Ovis aries: one gene and its partners. The protein of the gene in region 1 interacts with the protein of each later gene in a pairwise test. Links are inferred from orthologs where the notes say so. Each region holds a gene or a part of one and is shown in the gene's direction. Other genes may lie near its edges.

Region 1 (5,548 bases):
ACCACTTAGCCATTTCACTCCTAAGTATTTACCCGAGAAAAAAGAGGATAAAGGAGACATGTTTTGTTGTTCCATTTATGTAAAACCCTAGCAAATGCAGACTGTTCTTTAATAGCAGAAAGCGGATCATTAGTTGCCTAGGGCACAGGGGAAGGAACAGGTGAATTACAGTGGGGAATGGTGGCTTCACAGGGTATACACATATCAAACTCATCAAGTTTTCTATTAAATGTATTTTTTTAATGTTATATTGCTATAAAGCTGTTTTTAAAAAAGTAATATAACAAGTAAATATTATACTGAGTAGATTAAATTTTTTTAGTGTTATTTTAATTGAGGTTTGCTGTTAGGAGAACATACAATTGTCCCTCCATATCCATGGGGGATTGATTCTGTCATTCCCCTCAGATATCAAAATTCTTTTAAGATTAAGGCTATTGGAGGGAAGCTTTGGTCTTTGTATTCAGTAATATGGAAGTATTCATACTACCATATGTGTGAAATAATAAGAGGAGAATATTTGAGGAATAAAGAAAATTTTCACACTTTTATCTTACCAGTGTTTTCCTTGTGTCTAAAACGAGACTGGGAAAAAAAAAAAAAAAAAACGAGACTGGGGCAGCTTGTTGTTCAGTCACTAAGTCATGTCTGACTCTTTTGCGACCCCATGGACTATAGCCCACCAGGCTCCTCTGTCCATGGGATTTGCCAGGCAAGAATACTGGAGTGGGTTGCTCTTTCCTTCTCCAGGGGATCTTCCCAACCCAGGGAGCGAACCCTGCATTGGCAGGCCAGCTTTTTACCACTGAGCCACTGGGGAAGCCACTTAGGTGGCTTAAATTTGGTTGCTGCCTATAAGTTCAGTTGTGAAAAGAAAGAGCAAAATATAGTGTATACCAAACATGTTTCTAATGATTGTAGAAGGGTAGTTCTTTAGGATACACTAGCTATGGAAAGACATTTTAGGGAAGAAACTAAGAAAAAAAGGAAATGTATGACATTCAAAGAGTGAATGGCAATGGACAGAGATAAATGGGATTATCATCAGATAAGGGGAATTGGGGTAAACCTGGAGACAGAGACTAAGCCGTTTTTGAGTTAGGTGAATTAAGCTGTAGGGAGCCAGTGGAACCATTTGAGAAAGGTAGTGACCTAGTCAGAATGACAGATGACATAGATATTTCTTAACTGTGGCATTGGGAATTGATTATACAGGAAATTAGAAAGCAGAGTCTACAAAGATGAAAGTTTTTAATAGTTAAAGGATTAGAATACCCTAAACAAGAAAGCATAAGTTAAGAAAATGTTTTAGGAAAGAAAGATATTTAAGTAGTAAAAGTGATTTGAGTGGGATTAATGGGGTGAAAGCTCAAAGACAATAATATGATTTTATGCCTGGAAAACTGAAGAAATGCATGCTAAAACAGAAGAACTGAACACTGAAGTGCCACTTTGTTTTGTTCAAACAACCCCTTATATGTACACATCCTTAACCCTCTGCTAATATAACATTTGCAAATGTAGACATCATCAGAGATACTGGTAGGGAAAACTTGTGAGTAACTTGAAATATCCCCAAATAAGGGATTATTTAAATAAAACATGGCATACACAAACATTCAGAAACGTAAGATCATGGCATCTGGTCCCATCACTTCATGGAAAATAGATGGGGAAACAGTGGCTGACTATTTTTCTGGGCTCCAAAATCACTGCAGATAGTGACTTCAGCCATGAAATTAAAAGACGCTTACTCCTTGGAAGAAAAGGTATGATCAACCTAGACAGCATATTAAAAAACAGAGACATTACTTTGTCAACAAAGGTCCATCTAGTCAAGGCTATGGTTTTTCCAATGGTCATGTATGGATGTCAGAGTTGGACTATAAAGAAAGCTGAGTGCTAAAGAATTGATGCTTTTGAACTGTGGTGTTGGAAAAGACTCTTGAAAGTCCCTTGGACTACAAGGAGATCCAACCAGTCCATCCTAAAGGAGATCAGTCCTGGGTGTTCATTGGAAGGACTGATGTTGAAGGTGAAACTCCAGTACTTTGGCCACCTGATGCTAAGAGCTGACTCATTGGAAAAGACCCTGATGCTGGGAAAGATCGAGGGTAGGAGAAGGGGACGACAGAGGCTGAGATGGTTGGATGGCATCACCGACTTAATGGACATGGGTGTGGGTGGACTCCGGGAGTTGGTGATGGACAAGGAGGCCTGGCATGCTGCGGTTCGTGGGATTGCAAAGAGTCGGACACGACTGAGCAACTGAACTGAACTGATACACATAAAATGGGATGAAGGGCAGTTAAGGGAAAGTATTTTCTTGAAGATTTTGTGTAACTTAAGGCTAATTTCAGATAACAAAAGTCTTAAGAATGATTGTCAGAAAAGGGAGCTGACAGTAGCACACTGCCATATCATTGTTGAGGGTATACCCCAACCGTTATTTTTTATTCCTGCTAGAATATAAGCTCCATGAGGTGGCCGGGGTGGGTGGGGGCGAGGTGTTTAATGTCTGATTTGATGAGTGGTCTGTCCCCAGATCCTGTTGGATAGATTATCTTCATCCAGTTATGCAGACTGAGTTTAATTTTTTTTTAACAATAAAACATACTTGAAGAAGAGACAGCTACTTTTTACCCCTACCTTAACTAATATAATTCCAGTATGATAAAAATGAATACTGTACTTCTGTCCAAACTTTCTAAATTAGACTTCTATTTTTCTCTCTCTCTTCTTTCATTAACAGTTTTATTGGGAATTAAACCAACTAGGATGAATAATAATGTTTCAGTAGTACTTTGAATTTTATCAGTCAACTTCCTGTAGTCTCTGAGGATTGTGTGACTTATTTTTAATCATGTTCAGACTCTGAGTCTGGCTGCAGGATGAGGAGCCTAGTGAACTATGTTGAGTAAGATAGTTCCTTCTTTCGGAACCTGCTGTACTCAAAGGTGGGATTTGAGGCTTGATGTTCACTTTGAGTTTCTCTGGGTTTAGCATCTAGGACTCTAACTTAGAATCTTTCTTTGCTTGGATTGTTAGTTCTTTGAAGCTCAGCTGTGTGCACTTCGACTCTCGTAATACGCAGGATAATGCAGTTGATGATTATGTGTGAAAAATTAATTGGAAGAATGGTCAGCACAACTTTGAATCTAATTGTACTGTGTTGGTTGATAACTGAGCCCTTTCTTTCCCATGTTCAGTGATTTAGAATCTAGAAGAGAAGTTAAAAAGGAAGAAGGTGAAGCTTTTGCACGAGAACACGGACTTATCTTCATGGAAACTTCTGCTAAGACTGCTTCTAATGTAGAAGAGGTAAATAAAAGGCCTTTTAAAAATGCATATCATTCTGCATGATAGCAATCATTTGTTAATCATTTGTTGGTTATACCCCATAAGCTTTTTAGACACAGATAGTTGTTGAAAGTAGAAAATTTCTTTCCTTTGAAATACCTTGTAACATTCATGTTATATTAGATTCTTAAATTATATTCTGATGCTTCTCTTGAAGTCAGAATGATTTAACGGATCTTTGTATATACTTTCCCTAAAATCTTTTTTAATGTGGCTGAAGAGGGAAAAAAAAGAACAGTAATGAAATTTGGAAGTGTTTCAAGACACTAAACATTTGTAGCTGTTTGCATCCACTTCTGCTTAAATAGAGGAAGTATTATTGCTATGTAACATTATACACAACATGGCCATATTTAATAAATAAGATTTGTGGTATCTCAATTATTTCTGTTGTCAACCTGAACTGTGGAAGTTTTCTGAACACACCATATTTTCCTGTGCTTTGTGTATGTGGGATATGGTATTTATTTACTGCACATGCAGAAGTAGGCAGTTAATCCTCTCTAAAAGGAGAAATGAGACCTAAGAAAATATGTAGTTTGCACAGTGTAATGCTGCAGTTTCTGCCTTCTGGGTAAGAATTTTAAAAGCAGCTGCAGAAAGGGATTCTGCAATGATTGGAGAAGCACGTCCTTTAAGGATAGGGGTCCTAGGCCACAGCTAGCCCTGTGCCTTCCACATAGTAAACAGTGAATACATATTTATTAAGAATAATACTCGTCTAATTACCTGTTGAACCCAGAAGTTGACTATAGTAGTTCAGCAGCATTGGTATTTTTACTGAAGGATTCTTAGGTAAGATATCCTGCTCATCTCCACTTAATGAGGTGCTCTGTGATTGTCCTTAATATGTTTGTTACAGGCTCCAACTAATGCTTTACCTGTGTTACCAATTAATTGCAACTTGAAGACATATGAAAATGTTTTACTTTACACAGCAAACCCAGAGAGAAATCCATTCTGTCTTCTTGTTTAACTTAAAATAGAAAGCTGCCTGTTTCAGTGATACATTTCTTTTCTTAGAGGTGTTGGATTTGAAACTGGAGGGGCTAGTGTGTTGTGGTGGTTTTAAGACATATGAAACATATCCTTATTGATTATAAACAGGATTTTCTTGTTGATTTTGAGAACCTTAAAACCAGAACTATCTATATTTTATGAAGGAGCTGTCCTATGAAGTCAAATGACAAGACTGCCACTACCGGAAAGTAATTCTGAATTTCTAGTTTTAACTCTGAAGCCTTTGTGTTCATTTTCTTATTTTTAACAAGTCACAATAGGTATTTATTTATAAGTAGAAAATTACTATTGTCATTTGACTGAACATTTAAATGAAGTATATTTCATTAATGTTTTGGCAGCACTATTACAAAAATTCTGTATCTGCAGTTAATAATGAAAATAATTGTTTAAATTTGATCAGGGCAGGAATTTTCCACAGTCTTGAGAGAACAGCACTTTTCTTAATCATGTAAATTAATTTGCCTCTCAGAAGCCAAGGATATTAAGAGATAATCTTTTTAAATTCCATTTTTAAAGGATTCATAGATAAGCATTGCATAATATAACATGTGAGATCTTACCTAAAAGCTAAAAATGTTTCATGATAAAATAAGAAGATGGAAGTCCATTCTGTGATCCAGAGGAAATCATTTGAACATGAAAATAATAACCAAAGGACTCCTGCATCTGGGAACATGGAGTAGACTGACTTTCCACCTACTTTTCCTGCTGAGTACAACTAAAACTCTGAGCATTATATGTAAAACAGTTATAAGAAGACAGAAAGGTGGCAGGAAGGCGGCCAACCAGCTAGAGACCCTGGGATCTGAGGATGATGCATCAGGGGCTCCCTTGGTTTATTTTTGCCTCATACACCTCAGGTTGGGTCACGAGGAAGCGGCAATCCAGAAAGTTGTGGTGTTCTTCTGTTTTGTTCCTTCCAGAAGATATAAGTGCATGGCATAAAGGCATGAGGATAAAGGCATGCAGCTCAAAAAGGAAGGAATAAGTTGTTCATGTTTGTGGATGATATGATTATCTCTGTAGAAATCCCAAGAATAATTTGTTGTTCAGTCTCTCAGTCGTGTCCGATTCTTTGTGACCCCCTGGACTGCAGCACGCCAGGCTCCCTTGTCCTGCAGCACGCCAGGCTCCCTTGTCCTTCACTATCTCCCTGAATTTGCTC
Region 2 (6,002 bases), on another chromosome or scaffold:
GGATGAGAGGGCTGGATGGCATCATTGACTTGATGGACATGAGTTTGGGTGAACTCCGGGAGTTGGTGATGGACAGGGAGGCCTGGTGTGACTGAGCGACTGAACTGAACTAAACTGAATGAGGTTCAATTAAAATAAATAAATAAGAAGACGTAAACAGACATTTTTCCAAAGAAGACATATAGCTGACCAAGAGATACATGAAAAGACATTCAACATTGCTAATTATCAGAGAAATGCAAATCAAAGCTATAACTAGATGTCATGTCACATCAGTCATTATAGCCATCATCAAAAATCTACAGAGAATAAATGCTGGAGGAGGTGTGGAGAAAAGGGAACCCTCCTACACTGTTGGTAGGAATGTAAATTGGCACAGTCACTATGGAGAACTACAGGGACGTTCCTTAAAAAACTAAAAATAGAACTATCATAGATCCAACAATCCCACTCCTGGACATATATCTGCAGAAAAACATGGTTTGAAAGGCTACATGCACCCCAATGTTCACTGCAACCTTGTTTACAATAGCCAAGACATGGAAGCAACCTAAATGTCTACAGATGACTAGATAAAGAAAATGTGGGTAATGGAATATTACTCAGCCATTAAAAAGAACGAAATAATGTTATTTACAGCTACATAGATGGACCTAGACATCATCATATTAAGTGAAGTCAGACAGAGAAAGACAAATATAGTGGTGCTTATATGTAAAATCTTTTAAAAATTGTACAAATGAACTTTTTTTCCAAAACAGAAACAGATTCACAGACTTTGAGAACAAACTTATTGTTGTAGGGGGGAGGAGGGGGATAGATTAGGAGTTTGGGATTGATCTATATACAATAGATAACCAAGAGGAACAGGGAACTGTGCTCAATATTCTGTAATAACCTGAATGGGAAAGAATTTGAAAAAGAATTGATACAGGAATGTGTATAACTGAATCACTTTGCTACACACCTGAATCTAACACGACATTGTTAACGGACTATACTCCAATATAAAATTAAAATTAAAATTAAAAAAAACGGGTGTGTGTGGGCGGGGGGGTGGGGGGGTGGGGTGGAATGCCTGATTGCGCTATTGCCTTTCAGCAGGGTAGAGAGGGGCAGGTTTGGCAAAGGAACTTGCTGTGCCCTGTGCTAAGTCGCTTCAGTTGTGTCCGACTCTGCGACCCTGTGGACTATAGCCTGCCAGGCTCCTCTGTCCATGAAACCTTCCAGGCAAGAATACTGGAGAGGGTCGGGTTGCCATGCCCTCGTTCAGGGCATTTTCCGGACCCAAGGATCCAACCGGTATCTCTAATGTCTCCGGCATCAGCAGGTGGGTTCTTTGACCCAAGGCAAACATAAGTCACAGGCACGGTGTCTGTGGTACACCAAAACACACCTGGAATACAATTTGCTAACACCACTGAAGAACTCAGAAAAAAATAACTGCTTTCAACATTAAAATCTCCTTTTTATATAAAAATACATATACTATATATTCACAAGAATAGATTTATACTGTACATGCGCTCTTCTAAGTTTTCCCTGCCCTCACTTAATATTCGGCTATGGTCCGCCCTCCTTCCATATCAACAAACTGGACATACAGTTATAATTTCTAACGACTACAGCATACCTGGTCGTTTGAAGTTACTAAAAATTACTTCACCAATCTTTTGTTGGGAGGACAGTTTACTTCCGGGTTGTTTTCTGTGGCACAAACAATCACAGTCAACATCCTCGGACATACACGTGTGCACAGTTGACTGCTTACTTGGTACACATTCGCAGATGTGGAATTCCTGGGCCAGTGCTAACACATTTGAATTTTGATCCACGTTTCCAAACTGGCCTTCTAGAAAGTGTTTTTATTCGGTTGGCTGGTTTTAAATCAGATGACACTCTCACAAACAGGGTAAGGGAAAGCTATTTAAAGCACCATGCGGGGGGGTGGGGGCGGGGGCGGAGGAGTGGGATCGAAAACTCTTGCTGAACTTGAGCAACCCCTTCCTGGTTTAACTGCGCAGTTTCCTGGCCGCTTTTAAAGGAAGGAAAGGGAACGGGAGAGCCCCTAGATCCGCCCCGGGCGGGGGTGGGCGCCCCTCCAGCTCACCAGGCGGCACGAAGTTCGGAAAAACCAAGTTTCCGATGCTTGGTCGGAAATGCGGCCGCGACCCCCATCCTCGAGCCCCGCAGCCTGGGTGAGGGGGTGCCCGGACCTCCGCCGCGCTCCGGGCCGGGACCCTGGCGGGGCCGCGGGGGCGGGGCCCTGGCGGGGCCGCGGGGCGGGGCCGCGCGGCCAGCCCGCCCCGTCCCGCTCCCAGCCCGCCCTCCGGCCGCGTCCCCGCCGGCCCTGCCGACGTGGCGGGGCGGGACCCGGCGGCGCTCCCGCGCGCACTCGGCCGCCTGAGCGGTAAGAGCCCCGGGCACCTCTCGCCTTCACCCCCTTCCCCGGGCGGGCGCGGGGGCGGGGGGATGCGGGAACAGCTGCGGCGGGGTGACGGGGAGACCCTGCCGTCTCTGTCTATCCCGTTCGGTTCCCCGAGTCGGCAGGGGCTGGGCACCGGGCGCAGGATCGGAGGGAGCGGCCCTGGAGGTGAAGGTCCGGGCAGGCGCGGGCGGCGCGGCCGAGGGCCCCGCGTGGGTGCGGGCGTGTGAGTGTGTGTGTGTGAGTGTGTGTCGCTCCGGGTCCACGCTCATGCACACACCCACACGCCCGCACTCCTGCTCTGCCCCCTCGGCCGGCGTGAACCTCTGCGGAGCCTGCCTTGTGCTCCCGAAGTATTCGGTCCCAGCACAAAGCAAGTCTGAAAAAGTTTCCCCCAGGTCCCAGGTCCCAGTGAGAGGCAAGCTGCGGGGTGTCCGCAGCGGCGGGCACAGGCGAAGCAAGTCTCATCCCGGGGTTCGCCAGCCCTTGGCCTGGAAAAGCCGAGCTCCGGCCTTGCCCTCCCACCTAAGCTCATCATCCGTCATCTCTCCCGCTGCAGACGCCGGCACTGCCGGCGCTTCCACCCCAGCTAGCACCCTGAGCCAGCCCACCTCTATTCACAGCCTCCAGGTTGAGCCCCACTCCCCGCCCCAACCCCCCCACCCGCCGGCCCAGTCGCTCCTCTTCCTCCCTGGAACCAGGTATTTCTAACCATCTCAGATCAGGCACCTGAATTTCACTGCCCTTCCTGGAGTAGAAAGAACTCTGCATGAACTGTCAGGGTGATCTCTCTGTCCTTCGATGCCATCAGTTCTCATCCTAAACATCTTGAGAGAGTCAAGTGGGTGGCTTTTAAAGTCAATGTCCCGAACTCCAGAAGACCTCGTCCACCCTGAGAAAACTAAGTAGGCAGGCTTTCTCCTCAGAGCCTTCTCTGCCCTCTTTTCCTCCCGTTGCCCCTTCCCCACCTCACCTGTGTCCATTCCCTGCCTTTCCTTCCTTTCCTGAGCTCAGGAAAAAATCTGATAAACTTCTTAGGGCATAAGTTCTAAGCAAAAGAAGGGAACTTTGAGGGTGGGATCTGAGCCTCCTTGGAGCCAGTGCAGAAGGAATTTGAGGGTGGGAAGGAGCCTTGCTGATTCTCACGGATTCAGACATCATTAGACCAGGCTTACATCACACATTGTTTCTCTTTAATCAATATCAAACAATATATTTCAGTTCAGTAAATATTAGATCGTCGGAAAACAAGCTAGGTGCTTGTTGGTCACAGTTCTGGAGGAGAGACAAATGTCTCCTTTTAAAAAATGATACCAAAAAAATGATACAGAAATAAATACTCCTTAAAAATGCCATAGAAGTCTATGCAATGTATCTTCTAAAACATTGGAAGGAGTGGGGCAAATTTGGGAAAATTTCAAAGTAGAAAGTAACATTGTTGTTCAGCCACTGAGTCATATCAGACTCTGCCATCCCATGAACTACAGCGCACCAGGCTTCCCTGTGCTTTACTGTCTCCTGGAGTTTGGTCAAACTTACGTCCATTGAGTTGATGAAAGTGATTCTAGACACCGAGAGAAAAAAAAAAAAACAAAACAGGACTTTGCCAGGCAGTTGGAGGCAGGGCATCCTGGTCAGAAAACCCAGCATAAGCAAAGATGGAGATGTTTATGAGCTGCCTGGGCAGTGATGGAAAATGTGCTGTCTGTTGAGTTGAGAGTTCCAGGAGGCTGATAGAGAAAGTGGAGCTGGACTGTGAGGGGCCCCAGATGCCATGCAAAGGTGTTTAAACCTCCTGTTTTTTAAACAGGTCCTTATTTGTGTTTCATAAAGTTACCTGGCAGACGTGTGGAAGCCAGACTGGAGGAAAAAGAGTCTGGGCTCTGGGTACACATACTTGTCAAGTACCGCTGGAACTCTTGCAACCTGGTTAAGATCCTGTCATCCAGTTTTTGTTCCTGGTCTTTCACTGACTGACACTTTTTAAATTTGGAGGCAGTGATCTCACACAGGGTATTGTATTACCAACTCCTTATTTTGCCAAGTGAGACCATTTAACAAATCCATGCACTCCAATACTATTTCATAAAATGAAAGATGTTTTAATACCAAGAAAAGCATGAAGGTTAAACTTGCAAGATGAAGGCAGTCCTTTACATTGAATAAATTTAGACTGATGAAACACTCTCTATCTTGTCCTTATTTTTCTCTGTCATCACGGGCTGGTCCCAGTCCTGCAGTCTGGTGCGCGGGAACAAAGTATGCAGATCGGTATGTCCACCACCCTTACTCTCCAGAGGAGGAAGTAAGGAAGCCCAATGAGAATGAGTGGGCTGTACACCTGCAGAGGGATAGAGAGATCAGAGCACAATTCTTTCCACCTCAGCATCCATCCCTCCCATCCCTTGATATTCCTCCGTGTGGCTCTTGGCCCAGCCGCACAGCATCCATTCTGCATGTCTAGATTCATTCCTAGCACTTGCATACACTCCTTTCCCATCAGGCCTTAATGACTGTCAAAGCCTCTTTCAAGGTTCTCCCTTGTATGAGATCAGTCTAGTTCAGGCACTTCTTTACTTGCTGTGATGTGCTGTTTTAAATCATCATTTAACCATTCTGTGTTAGATGCAGTAGCTTCCTGGACCTTCACTGACCAGGAATCAGATGGAAACAGATTATTCATTTTCTGAAGGATGTCTTCCATTTTAAACTTATTTTTGGAGCCATGAAATTGTTGCTCCAATACCTAGCATAGCTCTGGGAGCATTTTAGGTGATGCATGAATTGACTCATGAAAAACTAACTTATATTCCCAGCCCACAAAGGCTTCTTTATATGCCACTCTTCCTCTTCTTGGAGTTTACTGAAGAAACTTCCTTGTTTCTGTGGGTTGAGGCTCCCTAGCATCAAAGCCACAGGACACGGCTGTAATGGTCAACAGTCCAAACCATAAATCAGGGCAAGTTTAAATCCGACTGCTTCTGGGGCACCCAGGCAGAGATGGGGGCCAACCCAGGACACACAGCATGCATCCCAGCCACCAACAGTCCCTACATAGGAACAGCTGTGTCTTAGAACACACAGTTTATAATGACTTCAGGTGGAAGGGCACTGTTTTAAAAATGACTACCTCTCTCCTGTCATAACATCCAGAGTAGACCACGGTCTACCAGAATAAAAAAGATTTGGAGGAAGCTTTGTTTTTTTGGTTTAGATTCAGGGAAAATATGGACTTGTAACAGGTAGAAAAGTTCACATACGATTAGAAGTTAAAGTAGGGCCGACCATTTTGATGATTTGGAAAGATGTAAAAATATAGTCTTCCTGAAATAAATTGTCCATAAATGTGTCCTGACAGTATTGGTTCAACTCCTTACAGCTGAATGTCACGTGTATTTCTGAAGAAATGTCTTCATGTTGATAATTGGATACAGAGTAGCCACAGGGAAGAGAGGTTTTGTTGTGGTCATTTTCCCACAGTTGAGGTGACCTGACCTAAGGCAGTTTGGCCGTCAGAGATGGGTGAGAGTGGTAGGCTCCTCTGTGCAACTGATAGAACCAGAATCCAGTCTCAGGA
Region 3 (5,976 bases), on another chromosome or scaffold:
TTTCTTGTTTTGAAATATGGTCAGGCTGAGAAGTTTCCAAATCCAAGTTCTTCAGTTTACTCAGCCTCTTATCTCCTGATCAGGTATCCCACAAATACCCCATTACTAACTCCATATATCCCCTATTACTCACTCCAAAGAACCCCATCACTACCTTAAAGATTCCCATCACTCACACCAGAGACCCCCACAAAAGTCACTCCACTACCCTCCCATCACTCACCCCACATACTCCATCATTAACTCCTAAGATACCCATCACTGTCCCCACAAACAGCCTTTCATTTGCTCCATTGACAGAATCATTCCCCTCACAGACCTCCATCACTCACACTACAGACCCCATCACTTGCCCCAAGAGACCGTCCATCACTTAGAACTCTATGACTCACTCAGATCCCCCATCATGTATTACACAGACCTTATCACTCCTACCAAATGCCCTATCATTTACCCCATAAGTCTCATCACTCACCATAGATCCCTCAATCACTCACCCTGTAAATTCCCCATAATCACTTTGAAGAACCCATTTACCTTACATTCCCCATCACTCACCCTATAGATCCCCAATTACCCCACAGATCTTCCATCACTTACACCATATCCTATCACTCGTCCCACAGACATTCCTTTACTCACCCCCACAGACCACTTATCATGTACCCACAAATACCCATCACCCTACAGACCCCTATTGCTCATCCAGCAGTCTCTGTCTTTAACCTCCTAGACCTTCAGTCATAAAACAAATGGGTACTTGAGGAATTTTGTGGAGATGACCATGAATAATTAAACTGCAGATACCTGTAGATGGGCTCCAGGTGACCTGTGCAGAGCAGGACTTCAGTTTACTGCTTGAGCCTACAGTGTCACTTTTTGAGAAATGCCTCACTGTTAACCCAAAGCCATGCATTAAGTTCTCACCTCAGATCCATCACTTACCTCATTGTTTACTTAAGGCATGATGGTGCCCTTGCTCTCCCTCAAGTACAGCAGGCACAGCCCCACCTTCTACCCATTGCACTCCCTTCTCTCTGTGCCATTTACTATCCCTTTGACCTCGAGCATGTTTTCCCATGACCTTCATTCAGTGCTTTCATATGTAAAATGCTGATAATGATAGTACCTACCTCAGGATTTTTATGCAGATTAGATGAATTAATATATTTAAACTATCTGGTATACACTGTGTTGAATGGAAGAATGAACAAATGAAAGAGAAAATTCTCCCCTGCACTATGGCAAGGACCTCCTTTTTGCTCTCCTTGCTTCCAGTATATTGCCTTCCAGAGGTTTCTCCACAACCAAGACAGGGGCATCTGAACACATCATAAGCTTGTGCTCCAGGGCCCTCAGGATAAATTCCAAGTTCTAGGCTAATGTTTTGCTCATTCCACTCTATGATAATTTTAAGGAAAAGCGACTTTCAAACTCCTTGTTTCTATCAGAAAACCTGGCAGTGCCACAAGAAGTGTTTTAGAAAAGGAGACTTCTCTAAAAAGGTAACATTAAGGGTAACATCCGTACAATACTGCAATAGCTGAAGTCCAGGTACCTTACAGGACTCCTTGGTTAGAAATTACATTTTTAAGGGCAGCATGTATTTTGTCCAAACCATAGAGACGTTGTAAAGTGAGAATGGCTTTTTGCATTTCGTGGCACATAAACTTTCTCAAAGGAGTCTAAAATATGTCCAGTATTCAGCTGATATTTGGTGGGCACACACCGTTTAATAACAGGACTGACTTCAACGTGTTGTAAAGATTCAATAAAAACAGAGGCAAACTTGTCCACAGAGCATACAAATGGATTTTATCGGTAAATTATTGAAGTATAACATGCAGGCAGAAACTGCAAAAATCTAAATGTACAGGTCCGTGAATTTTCATAACATGTAAGCTATTTTTTAAAAGATTGTGGGAAAAGGATTATTTCATTCAGCAGATTCATTTGAAATGATTTTAAATAAATGACGTCATCTCTAAGCAGAGACTCGAAGCAACGGGAGGCAGGACGTGAGGCCTTGACGTTATCGCGCAGCAGCGTCCTTTCCCCGCCCACTTTTCTCGCCCCAATAGGTCGCCGCGTTAACATCCACCTAGGCGAATCCCGAAGCAAAGTGACCAAATCAAGGACGAGGGAGGCGGGGCCTCAGTAGGCGCCTGCACACTGGCTAAAGTGAGGCAAAATGCCCGGCTCTAGGGGGCGGGGCTCTTGGCAACAGCACACTCTGCGCAAGCGCAGAGGTGACCTCCTCCCTGTGCCAAGCGCGGGGTGGGTAGGGTCGCGTGGCGCCCTCTGCGCCTGCGCCAGGGCACAAGGTGGGGCCGCGGGCGCCCGCATTCTGGCGTGCGCACAAGGGTAGGGGGCAACGGTCAGCTGTCACCCTGAGGTGGGTGGCAGCAGGATGGCGACGGCCTCTGGGTCATCGGACTTGGCTGGCTCCGGAGCGCCCTCGCCTGGTGGGGGGGCCCAGGCGGCGGCAGCTGAGGAGGAGGAGCGAGAGGTGGTGCGGGTCCGAGTCAAGGTGAGGCTGGTGGCTCGTCGTTCAGCCCGCCCAGAGCTCCCGGGAGAGGGGAAGGTGGTGGCTGTCCTAGGATGGAGGGCGGGACTTGAGAATTGGGGTGTTACGTGAGGGGAGAGGCTAGAGAGCAGAATATTGGTGGCTTGGGTGGGGGCTGGGGGAAGGCTGGACCTGGGAATGCGGGGGCAGAGGGTGGGGCGTGGGGATTGCAAATAGAAGGGTAGGGCCCTCTGGAATGGATAGGAGGAGATTGTGGGTAGAGAGGAGGGGCTATAGGGTTGGAGGAGGGGCCTTAATGGAGTGGAGCCCTGAGAAATGAGGGAGGTTGTTGCTGTCTGAAAAGGAGGCGCTGACATCAGTTTACCATTGTGTTGAGAGTGCACTTTTGTGCAAATCCCCACCCTGGATGAGCAGACACACTCGTCGGGGAGACAAACGGCTAAATAAAGGAAATGCTTCAGACACTGGTGAATGTCATGGGGAGATAACAAAAAAGATTCCGAACTAGGGAGTTACTTTAGCCAAGGTCGTCCAGGGAAATACCCAGAAAGGTATTGAAGGAACAGAGACCCAAATAAAAAGGAGTCACCAATGTGCATATCAGGGGGGAAGAGTGTTTTAGACCGAGAGAACAGCAAGGAGAGTGTTTTAGACCGAGAGAAAAGCTGGGAGGTGGGGATGAGTTTGACATGTTCCTTTAGGTTTCCATATTGCTGGAGCCCAGAGAGTGAGAGGAAGAGTGGTAGGAGGTGGATAGGAGAGGTAAGAGAGGGGCAGATTGTGAAGGGCCTTTGGCATGTATTCTAGAGTAAGAAAGCTGTGGCAGTAGTTCCAGCAAGCAGTGATAGTGGCTCAGACTAGGGCGGTGGCACTGGTGGTGAGAAGAGGTTAGATTCTCGAGAGAAGTAAACATCACTTCAGTGCAATAGAGCAAGCTCAAAGGTAGAGGTTTGGGTGTTCAAAGAAAAGATGCTTAAGCTGTGAGTGAGCCAGTTAAAGAGTGGGAAGGACCTTCCACTCCACCTTCCTCCATCCTAGGACTGGGGGATCTCCACAAGCACAGGCCTGGAGCCAAAATGTGTTCAGAGTAACTTCTGGGAGTTTGGTAGTACCAGAGTGTAAAATTCAAAAAAGCTCCTGTTGGGAATCCTGGGGTTCCTTTCAAAGAGATTTAAGCAAGAGAGTTTTGTAGACAGACATGCTAGATTGGTTGCAGCGTGGAGGACTGGTTTAATAAGGGCCAAGCTGGACATGTCTTTTTGCCTTTTCATACTGTTCATGGGGTTCTCAAGGCTCATTGGAAAAGACCTTGATGCTGGGGGAGATTGAGGGCAGGAGAAGAAGGGGGCGTCTAAGGATGAGGTGGTTGGATGGCATCACGAACTCAATGGACGTGAGTTAGCCTGGCGTGCTGCAGTCCATGGGATCACAAAGAGTCAGACACAACTGACTGAACAACAAAAGATTGAACATGGTGATCTTGGCAACCATCCTTGAGGGGATGTAGAAGGATTGGGTGCCTGGACTATTGCAGTAGCCTCCTCCTCACTGGACCACTGCTTTCTCCTTTGTCCCCCATGGACTGTTCATAGAGCAGCCAGAAGGGTCCTGTTAAATCCTGAATCAGACCACATCCCTCCTCTACTCAGAACTCTCCCAAGCCTCCCCCCTCACTCAGAGCACAAACCCCAGTTCTCTCCATGGCCCAGAACTCCCGCCTTGATCTGGCCCCTGCCACATCTCTACCCTTACTTTCTGCCATATCATCCATGTAATTGTGGTGATGTGACCCCTGATGGCCTACCCCATGTCTTCTCTCCACAGAAATGTGAGAGCTTCTTGCCGCTTGAGTTTCGCTCTTTTGCTGTGGACCCCCAGATCACTTCACTTGATGTGTTACAACACATCCTCATCCGAGCCTTTGACTTGAATGGGTGAGTAATGGGGTGTGGGGCAAAACCAGTGGGCCACCCACCTTGACAGCAGTTGTTTGGCATTTTTATTGCTGTTGTTTGGTAGGGAAGGATGTTTGTTTTGTCATTAATATAAATAGTCCCATAATAAACAAATTAAGTTTCAACAGATGTTTCCAAAATGTTCAGGTAGGTGTTACCAATTTACCATCTCAGCAGCAGCCCATAAAGTTTCTGTTTTCCTCACACCCTCACAAACACTGGTTACTAAAAAACATTAGAAAATTTGCCAACCTGATAGATGAAAAATAGTGTCTCGTGGGGGCAAATGTGATGGTTATTTTGGTATCATTGTTATTTTGGAGGAATATATGCACATGGTAACAGACTCAAAGGGTACAAAAATGGTGGGTATTTGGGGGGGTTTCCATGGTGACAGTCAGTTCTGGCGATGGCTCAACAGGTAAAGAATCCACCTGCAATGCAGGGGACACAGGAGATGAAGGTTTGATTCCTGGGTTGGAAAGATTCCCCTGGAGAAGGAAGACTCCCCTGGAGTGGCAACCCACTCCAGTATTCTTGCCTGGAAAATTCTATGGACAGAGGAGCCTGGCAGGCTACAGTCCATGGGGTCACAAAGAGTTGAACACAACTGAGTGACTAAACATGTTCATGGTGACAGTAGTTATCACACAACATGCTTTGCATAGAGTTGCTCTGGTGTATCTAAAGAACAAGTTCTTAGTTGTTATTTGACTTTTTTACATAAACATTTTCTGTTGTGAAAAATAACAACCATACAGCTTGCTTTATTTTTTATGCGCAAGGCTGCTTGCTTCCCACTTCCATCCCTCAACTACTCAGTTACCCTCCCTAGAGGAGACCCCAGTACCAGTTTTCAGTGTATTCTCCACATACAAGCAGATGTGAATCTGTTTCTGTGTTTGTGAAACAAGCTTCCCAGGCTTCTTTTGGAAATGGTCCCTGAGGCTTCCCAGGCACAGGGGCCCTGAAAGCTGCGGTGTTTCCTCTGTCCAGGAAGAAGAACTTTGGTATCAGCTACCTGGGCCGAGATCGGATGGGGCAGGAAGCTTACCTCTCACTCTTGTCTGACTGGGACCTCAGCACGGCCTTCGCCACTGCCTCCAAACCTTACCTGCATCTGCGTGTAGATATCCGGCCTACTGAGGACAGTGAGTACCCGGTGCTCTGGGGGCACTGCCCTGTGATACCCCCATTTCCCCATAGGATGACTCTACTCCTCACAACACTCTTTCACAGTGGGCTAAGGAGCAAGGAATCCTAGGTCCAAATCCTAGCTTGGCCACTGGCCCTCAATTTCTTTATCTGTAAAGTAGAGATAATGGTATCTTAGGGCCATCATGAAGATTAAACAGGGAAATTCATGTAAAAGTGCCTGAAAAGGTGCATGGCTGCATAGTGAATGCTCAAAAAGTATTAGCTCCAATGACAATAATTATCATATTTATCATAGCATATAATCTAATGATAATTATAGAATGTAGTATAATAATA
Region 4 (6,183 bases), on another chromosome or scaffold:
AAGATTAGTGTTGTAGACACCAAAAGAGGAGAGGGAATGATGAGAACCGAATGTATCTCCAGCACAAGTGAGGCAGGCCTGGGACCTGGGACCCTTGCTGCAGTGCTGCAGTGCTTGCACTTGGACACAACCTTCCCTGAGCAACAAAATATGAACTACATGGGACTAAAATTAACTGCATGCATGAGCAGTTAGGACAAATTCTGGACAAATGGCACAAAGAAGCCGAATACCACTTGTCACTTCAAAATAGCCTGCAGCAAAAATAGGGCACTGCACATGCCCCCTGCACATAAGGGGTGGGCAAACCACCTAAGCCACCCCTCCAGCCTGACGCCTGGAACCAACTCATGCCCCAGCTCAGGAACACACCAGCAAGGGAAACTGTTGTTTGTTCTTGCTCCCCACTGTTGTTGAAAGGGACCCCCAGTAAAGCCTTGCCTGAATTTCTTGTCTTAGCTCTGATCAACTTCTATTGATTAAGGGGGCCAAGAATAGTGGTCTGTAACACAGGTGTACAAGGTACACTGGATCAGATATTATAATATATTGCCTAACAATTTTATTGTGAAGAAAATCTTGAAATATGAAGGATAAATATAATGAAACAATGTAAATTTAATATAAAAGAACAAGTATCTGAAGTTTAAGCTCTGGAAAACGGAAGAAAAAACAGAAGGCTACTATCGAGTCTTTGAGATAAATTACAGTGCACATAATATGCTTTGAGCTAAACACTCCTAGAATTAATAAACTGCCTAGTTATTCGATATAAATCCACATGATTTATACCAAAAATTCATTTACATTCTACAGAGGAAAAATATCTATTTGCTCCCTTCTTTCTAAAAAGATTTCTGAACTCTGGGAGAAAGTTTATGATGATTAATAGAGCGCTGCCAGAAATTTGTGTTAAGAGAAAAAAATTTAATCTTTAATATATATAAAGTTAATACTTGAAGCCAACTCTCAGTAAAAATTATATTTTGAGGGTTTTTTTTTCCCCAGAGAAATTAAAAGCCATATTGGATTTTCTAGAACTTTCCTACGGGGAAGCCTATCACACTCTAATTAAACGGCTGCCAGGAGGTAAGCATGCCCTGCTTACTACCTGCAGGTAGTGTATGACCCGCTTCCAGGCGCTCTTCATGCTCAGCTCACCTCGAGTTCAGAGCCATGATAAACCTTCTTAAATGCGACATCTAATAATAATGTAACAGAGACAATATTTTGGAAATATTAAACTAAGGGATGTTTCATCCTCCCTAAATTACAGTGCCTTCCATTTCCCTGCCTTATCTTATCACTGTCTATCAGATAAGATTAGGGAAATCTCAGGTCAGTGAAATGTATTCCTCATTTTCCCTAGTACAAACGAGAACTTAAAGAACTGCTACGTCAGAATCTCTGTGTGGGCCCTGAATGCAAATGAATGCATGCCTGGAAGCAACCTAAAGGCCATGGATGCTTTGGGAATTTGGCAGACATAGACTAGAGACACTTATCAGAAAGCTTCATGGTTGATCGTCTCAGAACTTGTTCCCATGAGAGCAGAACCTCTGTGAAAGAAGTAGTTAAATCTTTAAAAAGACCAAGCAGTAAAAGACCATTTGAAAAAGAAGAAAGCCTAGCCAGGAGCTAATTCCCTTTGAGGATTTTATTATCCCTGTGAGCTCTTGGATAAAGTGAAATAGCAGTCTCAGAGGGAACTGCTCTTTGAAGAAACGAGATGAGAGCTCAGCTTCTGAAGAAGTGGTCCCTGTATAAGCAGGGAGAGCACGAGACAGAGAGGGAGGTCATCGGGCCCATGCTTGAGGCCCAGCAGGAAGCACCGCAGGAGCTACAACTTGCATCCCAGGGAACTTCATGTGGATGCCATCAAACGTGACCCCAGTCTGTTCCCTTTTGAGAGGGAAAGGCCAGATCACATGCCTGCAGAAGGCCAGTACCACATCATCATCACGGTGTACACACCAGTGGAATTCAAGAGAGAGCTACAGGAAGCTGTCCTCAGAACACACTGCTCTTGAGAATCAGAATGACCTGGGTTCGAGGCTGCTTTACAAAATCATCAGTTCAGCTCAGTCACTCAGTCGTGTCTGACTCTTTGCGACCCCATGGACAGCACCACGCCAGGCCTCTCTGTCCATCAACAACTACTGGAGCTTGCTCAGACTCATGTCCATTGAGTTGGTGATGCCATCCAACCCTCTCATCCTCTGTCATCCCCTTCCTCCTGCCTTCAATCTTCCCAGCACCAGGGTCTTTTCCAATAAGTCGATTCTTCACATCAGGTGACCAAAGTATTGGAGCTTGCTGTTAATAAATAGAAGCTATGGAAGGAAGAAAGGAAAGAAGGAAGGAAGTGGGGGGAGGGAGGGAGGAAAGGAGGAGGAGGAGGAGGAAGGCAATGTCCAAAACTGAGCACCCATGTAGTGAGTTTAAAGTGGTTCAGAGAGCGATTTGAGTAGAGAGGACTTGAAATAGCCTCCCACAAATATCCCAGTGGTAGTAGTATGAGACAGAGAACCAGAAAAATTTCCAGTACCCCTAAGCCCTTGAAAGGTGAGTGAAACACAGCTGAAATTTAAGTCAGTAAACTTAAGTGCTTAAAGTCACCAAGTTACTACTTTGAGTTAAGATATGTCTGCCTCCAGAGACAGTTTTATCTCTCTCAAAATCCTACAGGGGTTTCTAAACATCTATTTTGAAATTTTGAAATTCTCTTATCTGGCATTCACCTGTCTCAAGATTCCCAAACCTATCCTTCTTCACTCAAAAATATATTAATAACACATGCATTTCTTATTGATACAATTAATTGTTGATATGAAGCAGGGCAAAGGCTAACAGAGTTTTGTCAAGAGAACACGCTGGTCTTAGCAAACACTCTCTTCCAAAAACACAAGAAAAGACTCTACACATGGACACCACCAGATGGTCAGCACCAAAATCACATTGATTATATTCTTTGCAGCCAAATGGAGATGCTCTATACAGTTAGCAAAAACAAGACCTGGAGCTGACTATGGCTCAGATCATGAGCTCCTGATTGGAAAATTCAGGCTTAAATTGAAGAAAGCAGGGAAAACCTCTAGACCATTCAAGCATGACCTAAATTAAACCCCTTATGAATATAGAGGAGGTGACAAATAGATTCAAGGTATTAGATCTGGTAGACAGAATGCCTGAAGAATAATGGACAGAGTTTTATAACATTGTAACACAGGAAGCAGTGACCAAAACCATCCTAAAGAGAAAGAAATGCAATAAGGCAAAGTGGTTGTCTGAGGAGGACTTACAAATAGTTGAGAAAAGTCAAGAGAAGCAAAAGGCAAAGGAGAAATGTAAAGATATACTCAACTGAATGCAGAGTTCCAGAGAATCGCAAGAAGAGATAAGAAAGCCTTAACTGAACAATGCAAAGTAATAGAGGAAAACAATAGAATGGGAAAGACTAGGGACGTCTTCAAAAATATTGGAGATAAAAAGGAAACATTTCATGCAAAGATGGGCACAATAAAGGACAGAAATTGCAAGGACCTAATAGAAGCAGAAGAGGTTAAGAAAAGGTGACAAGAATACAATGAAGAAGAACTATACAAAAAAAGGTCTTAATGACCCAGGATAACCATGATGGTGTGGTCACTTACCTAGAGCCACCTTCATATCCAGGAGTGTGAGGTCAAGCAGGCTTTAGGAAGCATTACCACAAACAAAGCTAGTGGAATAGACAGAATTCCAGCTGAGCCATTTAAAATCCTAAAACATGATAAACAGTTAAAGCGCTGCACTCAATATGTCAGCAAATTTGGAAAACTTAGTAGTGGTCACAGGACTGGAAAAAGTGAGTTTTCATTTCAATCCCAAACAAGGACAATGCCAAAGACTGTTCAAACTACCAGATAATTGCACTCATTTCACATGCTAGCAAAGTAATGGTCAAAATCCTTCAAGCTAGGCTTCAGCAGTATATGAATCAAGGACTTCCAGATGTACAAGCTGGATTTAGAAAACGGCAGAGGAACCAGGGATCAATTTGCAACATCTGTTGGATCACAGAAAAGGCACGAGAATTCAAGAAAAATTTCCACTTCATTGACTAGACTAAAGCCTTAGACTGTGTGGATTACAACAAACTGTGGAAAATTCTTAGAGATAGGAATACCAGACCATCTTACCTGTCTCTGAGAAACATGTGTGCAGGTCAAGAAACAACCGTCAGAATTGGGCAAGGAATGAAGGACTGATTCCAAACTGGGAAAGGATTATGTCAAGGTTGTATATTGTCACCCTGCTTATTTAACTTCTATGCAGAGAACATCATGCAAAATGCCAGGCTGGATGACTCACAAGCTAGAATCAAGATTCCTGGGAGAAATATCAACTTCAGATAATGCAGATGACACCTCTGTAATGGCAGAAAGTGAAGAGGAACTAAAGAGCTTCTTGATGAGGGTGAAAGAAAAGAATGAAAAAGCTGGCTTGATATTCAACATTCAGAAAACTAAGATTATTCCAAGGCAAATAGAAGAGGAAAAAGTGGAAGCAGTGACAGATTTTATTTTCTTGGGCTCCAAAATCACTGAGGACAGTGACTGCAGCCATGAAATTAAATGACACTTGCTCCTTGGAAGAAAAGCTCTGACAACAAACCTAGACAGTGTATTAAAAAGCAGACATCATTTTGCTGACAAAAGTCCATATTGTCAAAGCTATGGTTTTTCCAGTGGCCATGTATGAATGTGAGAGTTGTACCATAAAGAAGGCTGAGTGCCAAAGAATTGATGCTTTTGAATTATGGTGCTGGAGAAGACTCTTGAGAGTCCCTTGGACTGCAAGGAGATCAAACTAGTCAATCCTAGAGGTCACATCTATTGCTAGTTTCAAAATCAAATGAAAACCCAATAAAAATTAATTTTAAAAATAAGGAAAAATCTTAAAATAATGTTTTGAATAGTAAAAGATAATTTTAATAAAATGGTTTATCTCAAGAGATAGGAGAAGTTGAAATGCTGCTGGAAAGTGTTGTGGAGGAAGGAAGAAATTAAAACAATCCAAGCCTATATTACATAGTATCTTCATTAAAATGTCATTGAGTTAAAAAAAACTAATGAAATTATGTAACTTTTCCCTTAATAAACTATAATTTACCTTTCTGTAATGCAATTTGGCAATATATATAAAAGTCAATATATATATCAACAGAGGTTTGTATAGTCAAATTATGGTTTTTCCAGTAGTCATGTATAAATGTGAGAGTTGGATCATAAAGAAAGCTGAGAGCCAAAGAATTGATGCTTTGAACTATGGTATTGGAGAAGACTCTGCAGAGTCCCTTGGACTGCAAGGAGATCCAACCAGTCAATCCTAAAAGAAATCAGTCCTGAATATTCAAGACTGATGCTGAAGCTCCAATACTTTGGTCACCCGATGTGAAGAGCTGATTCATTGGAAAAGGCCCTGATGCTGGGAACGATTGAAGGTGGGAGGAAAAGGGGATGACAGAGTATGAGATGGTTGGATGGTATCACTGACTCGATAGACATGAGTTTGAGTAAGGTCTGGTAGTTGGTGATGGACTGGTAAGCCTGGCATACTGCAGTCCATGGGGTCACAAAGAGTTGGACGTGACTGAGTGTCTGAACTGAACTATAAACGTCTTAAAAAGATACTTACCTCTGTTCAGTGATTCAATTTTTCCAAGGAAATAAAATCAAAGATAGAGGATTTATGCATAAATGTGTTCATCAGAACATAATTACTAACAGTAAACTACTATCAACAATCTAAATGACTGGGTAGAGTCAGGAAAAGAGTGAAAATAATCTCAATAGAGGATGATTTTTTAAAAATCACTCTAGTATATTTTTAAAATTAAATATTATGCAAAGAAAAGGCAGAGGAATCAAATTGCCAATATATGTTGGATCATAGAGAAAGCAAGAGAATGTCAGAAAAACATCTACTTCTACTTCACTGACTATGCTATAACCATTGACTATGTGGGTCACAATAAACTGTGGAAAATTCTTAAAGCAGTGGGAATACTAGACCACCTTACCCATCTCCTGAGAAACAGGTCAAGAAGCAACAGCCAGAATCAGACACGGAAGAGACTGGTTCAAAATTGGTAAAGGAGTACATCAAGGCTGTATATTGTCACCCTGCTTATTTAACTTC

What was found. The genes of interacting proteins can lie anywhere in the genome.
Region 2: the proteins of RAB2A (region 1) and FAM114A1 interact in binary tests that used the Homo sapiens proteins (3 or more experiments, as listed by UniProt). The two-hybrid records come from large-scale screens. The link is inferred for Ovis aries from reciprocal best matches to the Homo sapiens genes RAB2A and FAM114A1.
Region 3: the proteins of RAB2A (region 1) and TBC1D25 interact in binary tests that used the Homo sapiens proteins (3 or more experiments, as listed by UniProt). The link is inferred for Ovis aries from reciprocal best matches to the Homo sapiens genes RAB2A and TBC1D25.
Region 4: the proteins of RAB2A (region 1) and GARIN6 interact in binary tests that used the Homo sapiens proteins (3 or more experiments, as listed by UniProt). The two-hybrid records come from large-scale screens. The link is inferred for Ovis aries from reciprocal best matches to the Homo sapiens genes RAB2A and GARIN6.

What each region holds. Positions count from the first base shown.
Region 1 is NC_056062.1:39,201,732-39,207,279, forward strand, and holds part of RAB2A (ras-related protein Rab-2A), read left to right. Parts: intron 1-3,209; coding exon 3,210-3,321; intron 3,322-5,548.
Region 2 is NC_056059.1:58,805,530-58,811,531, forward strand, and holds the start of FAM114A1 (protein NOXP20), read left to right. Parts: upstream 1-2,335; 5' UTR 2,336-2,410; intron 2,411-6,002. UniProt on the Homo sapiens protein: May play a role in neuronal cell development.
Region 3 is NC_056080.1:56,503,545-56,509,520, reverse strand, and holds the start of TBC1D25 (TBC1 domain family member 25), read left to right. Parts: upstream 1-2,309; 5' UTR 2,310-2,410; coding exon 2,411-2,530; intron 2,531-4,351; coding exon 4,352-4,461; intron 4,462-5,478; coding exon 5,479-5,633; intron 5,634-5,976. UniProt on the Homo sapiens protein: Acts as a GTPase-activating protein specific for RAB33B. Involved in the regulation of autophagosome maturation, the process in which autophagosomes fuse with endosomes and lysosomes.
Region 4 is NC_056056.1:169,269,766-169,275,948, forward strand, and holds the start of GARIN6 (Golgi-associated RAB2 interactor protein 6), read left to right. Parts: upstream 1-2,516; coding exon 2,517-2,565; intron 2,566-6,183.